3 linked regions of the Ovis aries genome follow. The protein of the gene in region 1 binds, or shares a complex with, the protein of each later gene. Links are inferred from orthologs where the notes say so. Each region holds a gene or a part of one and is shown in the gene's direction. Other genes may lie near its edges.

Region 1 (3,646 bases):
CAGGACCGCTCAGCCTTGGAGGTGGTGGGGAATTCCAGGATTTACTACATGGAGTCTCTCTCTTTTATTTTTAACTTCTGCTCAGCAGTGAAACCACACCCTTCCTTCTTCCTGAAAATAATGTTTAACTTCCTTTGCCTACAGCATTACACGTCCTACGTAATGGGAGTAGGGTAGGGAAGAGTCTCTCAAGGTGGCCGAATCTCAGTGCATGCTTTCTGAAGGGGAGTGGTCAAATGTGTTTTACATAGTATAAGGCCATGAGATTATTCCTAACCCTAACCCTAACCCTGCTGCTTCAGATGGAGCAACTTAACGACATTTTTGAATGTGTTCTGTGGATCTTATAATTGGTGATGAAGATATTGAGACATTTGTTTGCTTAAAGGGGGTTGAGATGCTTATTTTCTTCCTGCTTGGAAAGAGGAACTCTTATCTCTTGCTTCTTTCTTTATAAAGCTGCCTGGTGTGGGAGTTTCCCAAGGTTATAGAGTGTGAAGATGCATGAAACACTAAAGGCTTTTGGAAACCCCACACCCTAGCTTTTCCAACTTTCCTATGTTCTTATGGCTTTCCAAACAGATTTCATGGGGAACTTACCTTATTCAGAAGAGTTTTGAGTGCCTCGGATGTGCAGGCACTGTTGAGGGCGCTAGGGAGGCGCTGAACAGAGCTGACCAAAGCATGCGAGCACCTCTGCCCTCAGAGCCCTCGCAGTCTCAGGCTTCAGGGACGGGCCGCCCGAGCTCCAGGCCCAGTTGCGGGTCTGAGGTGCTGAGTCTAAGGCGTGATGTGGTTCTTTTATCTGTACTGACTCTAGGCCACACATGCCTTCTTGAAAGCCCTTTTCCTGTTTGGAAAAAGGTCATTTGTGTTTGATAGAGCAGAAGAAGGCCGCGAATCGAACTGTCTTCCTGTGGGCTCTGTTTCAGAACGGCCGCTTTGTGGGCGATGCTGACCTTGAGCGACAGAAATTTTCAGATCTAAACCTCAACGGACCCCAGGTACCTCTTTTGGTTCAAGGTCTGGGTTGTTTGCTCATATCTTTTTTACTTTCCTAGCTTGAGAGCATATTGGTGTCTTCTAAATTACCTGGCACGTTGTAAACTGTCATTAATTAGTTCCATTTAGTGGAAGAAAATGGAAAAAAGGGGAGCTTCAAAGTATATCTATGGTTTTATTCTGGGCTTAATTACGCTGGCCATTGATTTAGTGTTTGATCCCTCAATTACTGCATCCCTTTTCTAGAGTGGGCATGGTTCTACTTTGCAGAAATCCCTCCCTAAAATCTAGCTGCTCTTGAGCCTTAGGCATATCTGAAAAATAACACTGAGCCATTCAGAAGATAGCTCTTACTGAGGTTTTCTGGTTCATCTTAAAGGTTCTTATTGGGTAAACTTTGTTTTATTTGAAGGCTTACTCAGATACAGATATAGCTGTTTTTTACACAGTTCATGTTCACTTAGATGACTAGAACTGGGGCGGTATATCTGCTGTCTCTGCCACTAGGGCGTTGTTGATGTAGCTATAGTTAACTCAGTCCCTGTTTGTTAAGTGAATGGGACTGGGAACTTATGTCTTCTGCCCTTTTGTACAAGTTGGGAAAGTGGGAACAGTCACTCCTAAAAATTCAGAAGATGCGTTGTCCTCAGGGAGACTGTGCTGCTTGTTGGGAGGGATCGTTAGTGTATATGGCTTAGGAGTGGCTCTTTCCTTTTTCTCTCTTCCGTGTAGGATCACAGCCACCTTCTATACAGCACTATCCCCAGGATGCAGGAGCCGGGGCAGATTGTGGAGAGCTACACGGAAGAGGACCCCGAGGGCGCCATGTCTGTGGTCTCTGTGGAGACCTCAGACGATGGAACCACTCGGCGCACAGAGACCACAGTAAGCTGAGACTTGCGTAAGGTCTGGGGTGACGGTGGACGTCCTCCTGTGGCCTTTATTGAGGGGAAGGGCTGGGCAGTTCACTAGGCTGGCGGAAGGGCCCGTGATCTGTAGTGAAGGTGTAGAGAAAGGGCGCCCTGGCTGGACGGGGAAGCTAGAAGAGATATGAGAAAACCTGATGGAATGAGGAAGAGTCTCGGCAGCTTTCCTTGAGGCACTGTGACTGCCAGTGCGGGTTTGTTCCCTGCAGACTTCCCGGAAGACCGAAGGGGAGACGGTGCGATTGCTCGGCATTTCCAGGGAAAGCAAGCTGGGAGCAGAGGGTTATTTCTTAGAGGGGTCTGGAGTCTAAGCTTAATTTGTTCGTGTCATTAATGTTCCTTTTTTCTTTCCTTACTCAAAGGTCAAGAAAGTGGTGAAGACTGTGACGACTCGGACGGTGCAGCCAGTCCCTATGGGGCCCGACGGGCTGCCTGTAGACGCCTCATCGGTGTCGAACAGCTACATCCAGACTCTGGGCCGTGACTTCCGCAAGAACGGCAACGGGGGCCCTGGTCCCTACGTGGGGCAAGCAGGCACGGCCACCCTCCCCAGGAACTTCCACTACCCGCCTGACGGATACAGCCGCCACTATGAGGACGGGTATCCCGGGAGCGGCGACAACTACGGCAGCCTGTCGCGGGTGACCCGCATCGAGGAGCGGTACAGGCCCAGCATGGAAGGCTACCGGGCGCCCAGCCGGCAGGACGTCTACGGGCCGCAGCCCCAGGTCCGGGTGGGCGGGAGCAGCGTGGATCTGCACCGCTTTCATCCGGAGCCCTACGGGCTGGAGGACGACCAGCGAAGCATGGGCTATGATGACGTGGATTACGGCATGATGTCTGATTACGGCACGGGCCGGCGGACAGGGACGCCCTCTGACCCGCGGCGGCGCCTCAGGTGGGCAGGGAGGAGGGCGGCGAGGCGCCTGGCGGGCGGTGGGCGGGCGGCTCCTCCTCCCCGCGGGGGCGGCTCCTCCCCGCGGGGGCGGCTCCTCCCCGCGGGGGCGGCTCCTCCCCGCGGGGGCGGCTCCTCCCCGCGGGGGCGGCTCCTCCCCGCGGGGGCGGCTCCTCCCCGCGGGGGCGGCTCCTCCCCGCGGGGGCGGCTCCTCCCCGCGGGGGCGGCTCCTCCCCGCGGGGGCGGCTCCTCCCCGCGGGGGCGGCTCCTCCCCGCGGGGGCGGCATCGGGCCCCTCCCCCGCCCGCGTCTGTAGGAGACCGGCCTCATCGTCCCTCTTCTGATCTTGCTAAATCCTCACCTGGTTTTTTTGGTCTCCTTTTTTCATTATAAATACCATGTATTCTAATTATAGAAAACAACCTGTGACAGTTAATTGGTCTGTGTCCTGAGGAGAGGCCTTTGGTTCTGTGTCAAGAGTTTATTTATTTTCTGCCTAAGATTTGACGCCCCATTTGGAACCTGATATCTGAAGCTATAGCATACTTGTTCTTGTGAATTTCTTCCACTTGTTTGGTGTTAAGAACAAGGTTAAGGATTTTAGGCTTTCAGGAGCCGACTAGCCAGTTGAAAGTGAAAGTGTTAGTGCTCAGTCGTGTCTGCCGACTCCGTGGACTGCAGCCCGCCAGGCTCTTCTGTCCATGGAATTCTCCAGGTGAGAATGCTGGAGTGGGTTGCCATTTCCTTCTCCAGCGGAATCTTCCCAACTCAGGGCTCGAAACAGGTCTCCTGCCCTGTAGGCAGATTCTTTACGGTCCGAACCG
Region 2 (4,090 bases), on another chromosome or scaffold:
CCAAATGAATCAGCCCTTCGCATCAGGTGGCCAATAGATTTACATGGAATAAAAATATCCATCTTGAAAGTAAATGAAGATTTATTTATTCAAAGTTGTAAATTTGATCATTATTATTCTGCTTCTTTAAAAAAATTATTTCTTTATTTTAATTGGAGGATGGATAATTACAATATTGTGATGGGTTCTGCCGTACATCAGTATGAATTGGCCATAGGTATACATGTGTCCTGAACACTCCTCCCACTCTCCTCCCCACTCTATGTACAGGAAATATAGAAAGGTTTAAAAATTGCATTACTTACTCCTTTTAGTAACAAACAACTTGGATTCAGATTATAAACAATTCAAATTAAAAAGTACAGCAACCTGTCACAGAGCCATGAAAATACATTAAGACAAGGTAAATATTATCTTTTATTTCACCTCTTGAAGAACTGTTTAGTGTTTTCAACAAGGTGATGTGATCACAGGTAATACGTTAAGGTAATGGGGACTAATGAGTGTTAGATCTTGTTTTCCACTTGTTCATTGCAGCCTGAAGTATTGGTATGTTAGAACCTCAACTTGTCTTTTTTCCAGAATCCTAATGTAAAGGCCCCAGGTCGGTACAGAGACCCTCCCACAGGGAGCCTCTTTCCCATCCCTCCTCCCTCTTTCTTTCATCTCAGAATCAAAAAGGCAGGTTCATCTAAACGTAAAGGAGATTTTGGTGAAGTCTATGAACCCCAGAACTTCAAGAAATGATTGGGATAAAGATGGTTAATGCTTTGGAAGGTAAAATTATACTTTTCTCTTTTTTTTCGTCTCTTAATAAAGTTATTCTTTTTTGGAGTCCTTTTCCAGTTCTTTGATTTCAAGCAATAGAGCCTATAAGGAAATGAGCATTAAAATACTCTGCTACAAGGAAGAGATCAGTAGGCATTCCACTGATTTTGGAACCAAAAACAAAGAAACCAAACCCCTATTTCCCCATAGATACTGGCTTCACCCTCCTCTGACTGAGCCCTGGTCTCCTGGGGTCAGACGCCTGCTGTGCGTATCGCTGGGGCAGTTTTATTTCCTCCACTCCCTTCCTGAGAATTCTGCCTGTGGTTAATGAGGCCAAAGGCTAAGCCTCAGCCTCCCATCCCACCCCTGATAAATACAAGAATGCTCGGGAGCAGGGACGGGAAGAGTTGAGAGAGTGTCTGTGACAAGGTGACCAGACGGTGATAGGAGAAGAGAGCCTGCTGGGAAGGACGGGCCCACAGCCAGGAGGACTTGCCATGCCCGTGGGCTGTGGGTGCTCACCAGGCGGCATGCGCTGCAGGGTTCACCCCGCGCTGCTGCTGCTCCTCGCGTTCCTGATGCTGGTGAGCAGGGACTGGTACCCACAACGTGGGGTTTACCTGCTGGGGACCGGGAGCTGACCGCACAGCTCCAGCTGGCTCTGCCTGTTCAAGGGTGGGGGAACGGGGCTGAGTGTGATGCCCTGCAGCTGCGGGCGGGGGTGGGGGGGTTGGGAGCTTTAGTACTTTCTTTAGGGAAAGAAGAGGGGTTCCAGAATTAACACCAAGGAGGGATTTGGCAGAGTAGTGGGAACAGGCTAAGACTGGTTTATATAGGATACATACGTTTAGATTTGTATCAATGCGTTTCCTAAGGACATTTCTTTTCACTTTACATAAGACTGAAAAAATCTCAATTGTGTATGTCGAAGAGGGTTTGAGCAAACCCATGGGGGTGGGAGGGCTAAATCCCCCTGCCTCCCCACCCTCTGCCCCTCACCAGTTGCCATGGCTCAACTCGGAAACAAACAGTAGAATCAAGACGGAAATGTCTGGGCTTGTTGCTTGTACTTACCGTGGACAGAGTTTAGGCTGCATCTGCCTGTGGGGCATGGCCGCTCTGCTCAGCCCGCTTTCCTCAGACAGAGAGGGAGAGCCATGGGGCTCTGGCACTGCTCCTGGGTTCTCCCTTATAAACCCGGCCAGGGCAGAGGCAGGAGGCCCTGCAGTGGGTGGGGGTCAGGATGGTGGATCTGCACTGCATCGTAACCTGGCTTGGCACCTGGGCTGTTGCTTGGCCTCGGTCCTCACCTTGGTTCAAGCTTGACTCTTCTCAGATGCTGCGAGAGTCCCAGTGCCCAGAGGCCACTCACCCCTGGATTCAGCAGAGCTGATCTGGGGATGCGGCCTAGGCATCTGGGTTTTCAAGGCTCTACCTTCATCTTGTTAAGCCTCATTGCCTCCATCTGAAAATGGAGCTACTGCAGGCACTTACTTGACCTGGGTGGCTGTGGGAGTCAATGAGGAAATGCAGAGGATCTTTTCTTGCTGTTCTCCGTGCCCTGACAGGATGGTTATTCTCTTCACTCAGTGCCTGGGCTGCTACTGTTGGTGGGCCACTCGTTCCGGGCCAGGTGCTTTCATAAGTGCTGGGTATTACTGTAAACAGAAGAGGAAACAAAAAGTCCCTAGTTGTCTGGCCAGCTCTGCTTCTGAAATTCGATGCCCTGTTCGCCACCCTTTGCTTAATGTTCAGAAATTTTTCTTGGCTACTTTGAAAAAAGTTTTAATTGGAGTATAGTTGCTTTACAGTGTTGCTACTTTCTGCTATATGGCAAAGAGAAAGAGCTAAATGTATACATTTAGGGGGGCATTTCATTCCTGTTCAGGTCACCACTGAGCACTGAGCAGAGTTCTCTGTGCCACCCAGTAAGTTCTCATTAATTATCTATTTTATACATAGTAGGAGAAGGCAGTGGCACCCCACTCCAGTACTCTTGCCTGGAAAATCCCATGGACGGAGGAGCCTGGTGGGCTGCAGTCCATGGGGTCACTAAGAGTCACTAAGGGCACGACTTTCACTTTTCACTTTCATGCATTGGGGAAGGAAATGGCAACCCACTCCCGTGTTCTTGCCTGGAGAGTCCCAGGGACGGGGGAGCCTGGTGGGCTGCCGTCTATGGGGCCGCACAGAGTCGGCCACGACTGAAGCGACGGCAGTAGTAGTAGTGTGTGGATGGCAACCCCAGTCTCCCAGTTCATCCCACCTCACACTCCTCCCCTTGGTGTCCATACATTTGTTCACTGTGTCTCTGTCTCTATCTCTGCTTTGCAAATAGGTTCATCTGTACCATTTTTCTAGATTCCACATACATGCATAATATATGACATTTGTTTTTTTCTTTCTGACCGCTCCTAGTAGAACTCTGTTTTAGTAGCCCACATTAGCCTGGATTTGGATATGTCACAAATCAAACCTTGTTCCCATCTTTCTCTTACTCTTGCTCCTACCCCTAACTGAACTCAAGAGAAAACAGAGCTGTCTGTTTCTCATTTCTGCGTGTTAGCACAGAGCCCAGGCAGGTTAATTCATGACTGAGGGTGTGGTGGGTGGGGTGGGCAGTGGGCAGCAGGGCTGGACTGTGGGTAGCAATTCAGTGTTTGGTGGAAGCAACTATATATAGATTCCGGGGATCAAGGCCAAGGGAGATAATGGGATAAACAAGTGTTCCGTGGTTTTGAGCAATCTGTACTCTGGACCCTCAATTGGAGAAGACCTTTGTGTCCAAGAGGTGCCCAATTTTTTGCTGAATTGGCTATAAGTAACCTATTCCTTTCAGCCCCTATCTTCTCCCACCTACGCTGACTTTTAACCACTGATGATATGCAAATAAGGCACCCACTACCCCTCCCTTGACCTCCAGATTTAAAACTGGTACCCATTCTGCTGAAGAGCTGAGATATCTACAACAGTGTTCTCCCCAAATCTCCACCTTCACGTTGTCATCCTGACATGAAGCAAAGAACAAAGTTGCAACTCTGCTGCGGGTCTTTGTTCCAAATCCCACGACAAGCCGCAGAAGCAGGGTCCTATCCCCCTCTTTGCCATTTCCAGCCCTGAGAGCTTGCACACCCTCGGCTTTGGGCTGGGGCAGCTTCTAGAACCTGAGAGGAGGGAGGGTTTGAGAATGAAGTTAGTCAACAATGTCTGTTATGGTTGGTAGGTTGTTGTTGCTATTAATCTGGGAAATTCTGAGTTGAGTTATTGTTAAAAAGTATGTTAGCCTGTATGATCTGCCCGATTAATTCACTCAAACCCC
Region 3 (3,646 bases), on another chromosome or scaffold:
CACCGGCCCCATGCGTTGTGAGCCCTATCATGAGGGCTTTCTGCTGGTGGACTGCACAGTTCCTGGTGGTGAGAACATTCCCTTTCCCATTCTGGGTCAGCCCCTGCAGATCTTCATCCATTTCAGTGGCTGCCCAGTGCCCATAATTTATTACTCTGTTCTGGGACATTTTGGTTGCTCCTACTTTGCTATTATAGATGAGGTTAACGTGAACTCCTCATTCTGGGGTTCCCAATACCCAGGGTCAAGCTTTGTCTTTGAGGAAAAACAGTTCTGGTAGATCTTCCAAATCCAACTCCACGAGGCTTTTGCCTGCCTTCCAGGCTCTTCTCATGTTCCAGAGTTGTCCTGATGTCTTGGTCGTTTGTCTGAATACCACTGGCATCTCCTGGAGCGAGGGGCAAGGGACTGGGAATAGTGAACCTTGTCTTCTAATTTAGACTTTGGGATATAAAATCAATGAAATTGTTTAAGGGAAAGAAATTATCAAGGATTCTGAAAGATGGGCGTCTCTGCCTGTCTCTTCTAAACCTGGAATAAAGATGGTTATTCTTGGGGTGATTGCAGGTCCAGTTTCCAGGCAGTTGATCCCTGGGTAGTCTGGTCTCTTGAGTGAATGATGTGCAAAGCTTTTGGCACTGTAGCTGGCACGCAGTGAGCACTGGATGAGTGACAGATGCCAGCTTAAAATCGTCCACTTCTGGTGGGAGGCCTCCTCCCTCATTCAGCTGTTTTTGTTTGTTCCTCAGAGAATCACATTTTGGAAGACGTGAACAAATGTGTCATTGCTCTCCAAGAGAAAGATGTGGATGGGCTAGACCGCACAGCTGGTGCAATTCGAGGCCGGGCTGCCCGGGTCATTCATGTTGTCACCTCAGAGATGGACAACTATGAACCAGGAGTCTACACAGAGAAGGTGCTGGAAGCAACCAAGCTGCTCTCCAACACAGGTGCGGGACCCCTCCCTCACCTGTGCTCCTCACACACAGATGGCCCTCTGGTTAGGAAGTAGGACACTGGGGCTCAGTTTGGTTTTCGGACAAGAGTTCTGGAAGGTACATCGGATTTATGAGTCATTGGTCAGCCACAGTAAGACCACACAAACACGTTTCCCTTACTTGTGTCCCACAGGTAGTAATGGGAGTCGTTCTGAACTCTGAACTTCTGAGTTATATCTCTAGTTAGTGAACACACTAAATTAAGGAGAGTCCCATTCTAGTAAGGCCTCTAGTTAATCCCAATTCAAATTCTCAGCCATCTAAATCCTGTGTTCCAGAATCTGGCCAGAGACAAAGAAGAGGATTCAAGTCTTTGTAAAATATGGCATTTAATTTATTTGAACTATAAATACCTCTCACATAGGTAGAAGCAGAGGCTCTTCATCATACACTCTGCCTCTCTGCATCTGACTGAGGGATTTAGGAGGGCTGGTGGTGATGTTATCATCTCTCTTCTCCGCAGTCATGCCACGTTTTACTGAGCAAGTGGAAGCGGCTGTGGAAGCCCTCAGCTCAGACCCTGCCCAGCCCATGGATGAAAACGAGTTTATTGATGCCTCCCGCCTGGTGTACGATGGCATCCGGGACATCAGGAAAGCGGTGTTGATGATAAGGGTGAGTAACTGCATTTCAGATGTTTTAACAGCTTCCTTCTTATCATTTGCTAAACTTGAGCAATGCATCATTCTGGAACTCAACAGATGTGTTGGCAATATATTAAAACCATGAATCTAAGGGCTGTTAGGAAGAGATATGTTTAATTACATTGTTTAAAATGACTTTTAGTTGCAAGTTAGAGCCCAAACTTGGGCTGAGAAAAGGGGACCTAGTATGAATTGAGGCTTCCTCTTGAGTTAAAGGGCAGTGATAGAAAATAAAGGCTCCTCAGTGAATTTCAGAGAAGGGAATATTTCCTTTATTCAGGTTGAAACTGTTCTTTACATGGAGCACTCCTCACCTCAGAGGGGTGGCAGGCAGGCAGGGTACTAGAGCCCAAGGGTATTGAGGGGAAGGATGAGGGGCTGTGCAGCCCTTGGTGATGCTCCTGATCTCTAGGGCCAAGTGTCGAGCCCTCTCACCGTGGCTGAAGGGAAGTGCCACCTGCTCTGGGCCCCGTTTGACCCGTCCTCTCTGAGCCAGAGGCAGTTCTCAGCGTCTGAGGCAGTGTCTGGGGTCCCCTGGGCATGAACAGTAGGGTTTTGAGAAACCACCTCCTCCGTGATCATCCCGTGTCTTAGGCTGGGACTCACATAGCAGTTGATGCCTCACACGCTGTTTTGAACATGAATGTGTTGCTCTGGAAGTGGAGAGCAGGACCTGTGCCAAGCTCTCCCGGAGTCACCCCCAGGCTCGGGCCAGCCCTGCCGTAGCCACAGAGCCAGCATTTGGAAGGCAGGCCTGCTGAGTAGACGGCTGCTGGCCTCTGCTGACAGTCTAGTCTTGTCGGGAAGCTTCCGTTACACCTTCATGGTTTGCTAGTCCGACCGCCCAAGGCGGACGGGGTTCTGTCCCCCTTTTTACCCCCTCAGCTGGAAACAGAAGCCATTTCTAAGGTAGTTGCATCAGGCTGGATACATTCTGTATGCAACGTAGCAACATTTGGGCATTACTGCACTTCTCTCAGGGGTAAGGAGCAACAAGAATGGCTCAAGGACTGTATGGCTGGCTGCTGGGTGTTCCTGCAGGCCCGGGTCACCTGCACATACTGGGGGTTGGGAGGGGATCTGGGGGAGCCTGTTGCTTTGTTCACCCCTGCTGCTGTGCTGGAGAGCAGCCCATGCTCAGGGAGGCCTGGCCCCCAGAGGTGCGAAGGGGTCCCTGGGTCAAGCGCACCAGTGATGGCAAAACGCAGCCCTGTTTTTCCAAAGTTCTTTGCATGCGGACAGAGAATAGAAGAAACATTAATAATCATGAGTTGCTGAGTGTCTGAGGTTAATGCCTTTGGGGTTTTAAATGAGCTGGCACTGCACACACCCCAGGATACCTGCACATCCAGGGCCTGTTCTGTGGAAGCAGGGTTCCTCCTCACATCTGAGACTCTCAGCAAGTTCCCGCATCTCTCTAAGATGCAGATGATGGTGTTGGTAGCTTGATGGGATGAACTGGAGGTCAGGTCAGGGCCTGGCATGTAGTAGCTGTTTCTTGTGTGCTTACTGCTGTGTGGGATCGTAAGTACAAGAGGCCCTGGCAGGTGTGGTGAGATGGAACCTGGGTGTGGTCACCTGGGAGGGCTCAGGGAGCAAGGACGGGTAGGTCTGCAGCAGCCTTGGTTTAGTTCCTCCTTTTTGTCTTGATTTAATTCAGGAACCATCCTTCCAACCCAGGGCCTCTTGGTTTCTTGATGCCTTGTAGTTAGCCTCTTTTGCCTGGTCCTTGTCATAACCAGCATCCCCATCATCCCTTCCGTCAGCTGCTCCCTTTGGTTCTGTGACTTCCAACAATGCTTTGAGTCCATCAGGATATTCAGCCGGTTGGTCCTCCCCACTTGCAACCCTCCCTCAGCCTCTTGGGTCCTTGTCTCACTCCTATTCCAGCTTCTGTTTCATCAGTACAATCTATTTTGCACCCTTTTACTCCCCTTATTTGCCTTTCAAAATACAGCCCTAGTGAAATTCTGTCTTCTGCTGAACATGGTGCATAAAAGTACA

The links.
Region 2: CTNND1 (region 1) and CDH26 share a complex: the UniProt entries of both Homo sapiens proteins name them as parts of the cadherin:catenin adhesion complex. The link is inferred for Ovis aries from reciprocal best matches to the Homo sapiens genes CTNND1 and CDH26.
Region 3: CTNND1 (region 1) and CTNNA1 share a complex: the UniProt entries of both Homo sapiens proteins name them as parts of the cadherin:catenin adhesion complex. The link is inferred for Ovis aries from reciprocal best matches to the Homo sapiens genes CTNND1 and CTNNA1.

Annotation. Positions count from the first base shown.
Region 1 is NC_056068.1:79,803,770-79,807,415, forward strand, and holds part of CTNND1 (catenin delta-1), read left to right. Parts: intron 1-932; coding exon 933-1,004; intron 1,005-1,734; coding exon 1,735-1,887; intron 1,888-2,290; coding exon 2,291-2,826; intron 2,827-3,646. UniProt on the Homo sapiens protein: Key regulator of cell-cell adhesion that associates with and regulates the cell adhesion properties of both C-, E- and N-cadherins, being critical for their surface stability.
Region 2 is NC_056066.1:56,277,796-56,281,885, reverse strand, and holds the start of CDH26 (cadherin-like protein 26), read left to right. Parts: upstream 1-1,170; 5' UTR 1,171-1,268; coding exon 1,269-1,355; intron 1,356-4,090. UniProt on the Homo sapiens protein: Cadherins are calcium-dependent cell adhesion proteins. They preferentially interact with themselves in a homophilic manner in connecting cells; cadherins may thus contribute to the sorting of heterogeneous cell types.
Region 3 is NC_056058.1:47,904,737-47,908,382, forward strand, and holds part of CTNNA1 (catenin alpha-1), read left to right. Parts: intron 1-749; coding exon 750-950; intron 951-1,461; coding exon 1,462-1,613; intron 1,614-3,646. UniProt on the Homo sapiens protein: Associates with the cytoplasmic domain of a variety of cadherins. The association of catenins to cadherins produces a complex which is linked to the actin filament network, and which seems to be of primary importance for cadherins cell-adhesion properties.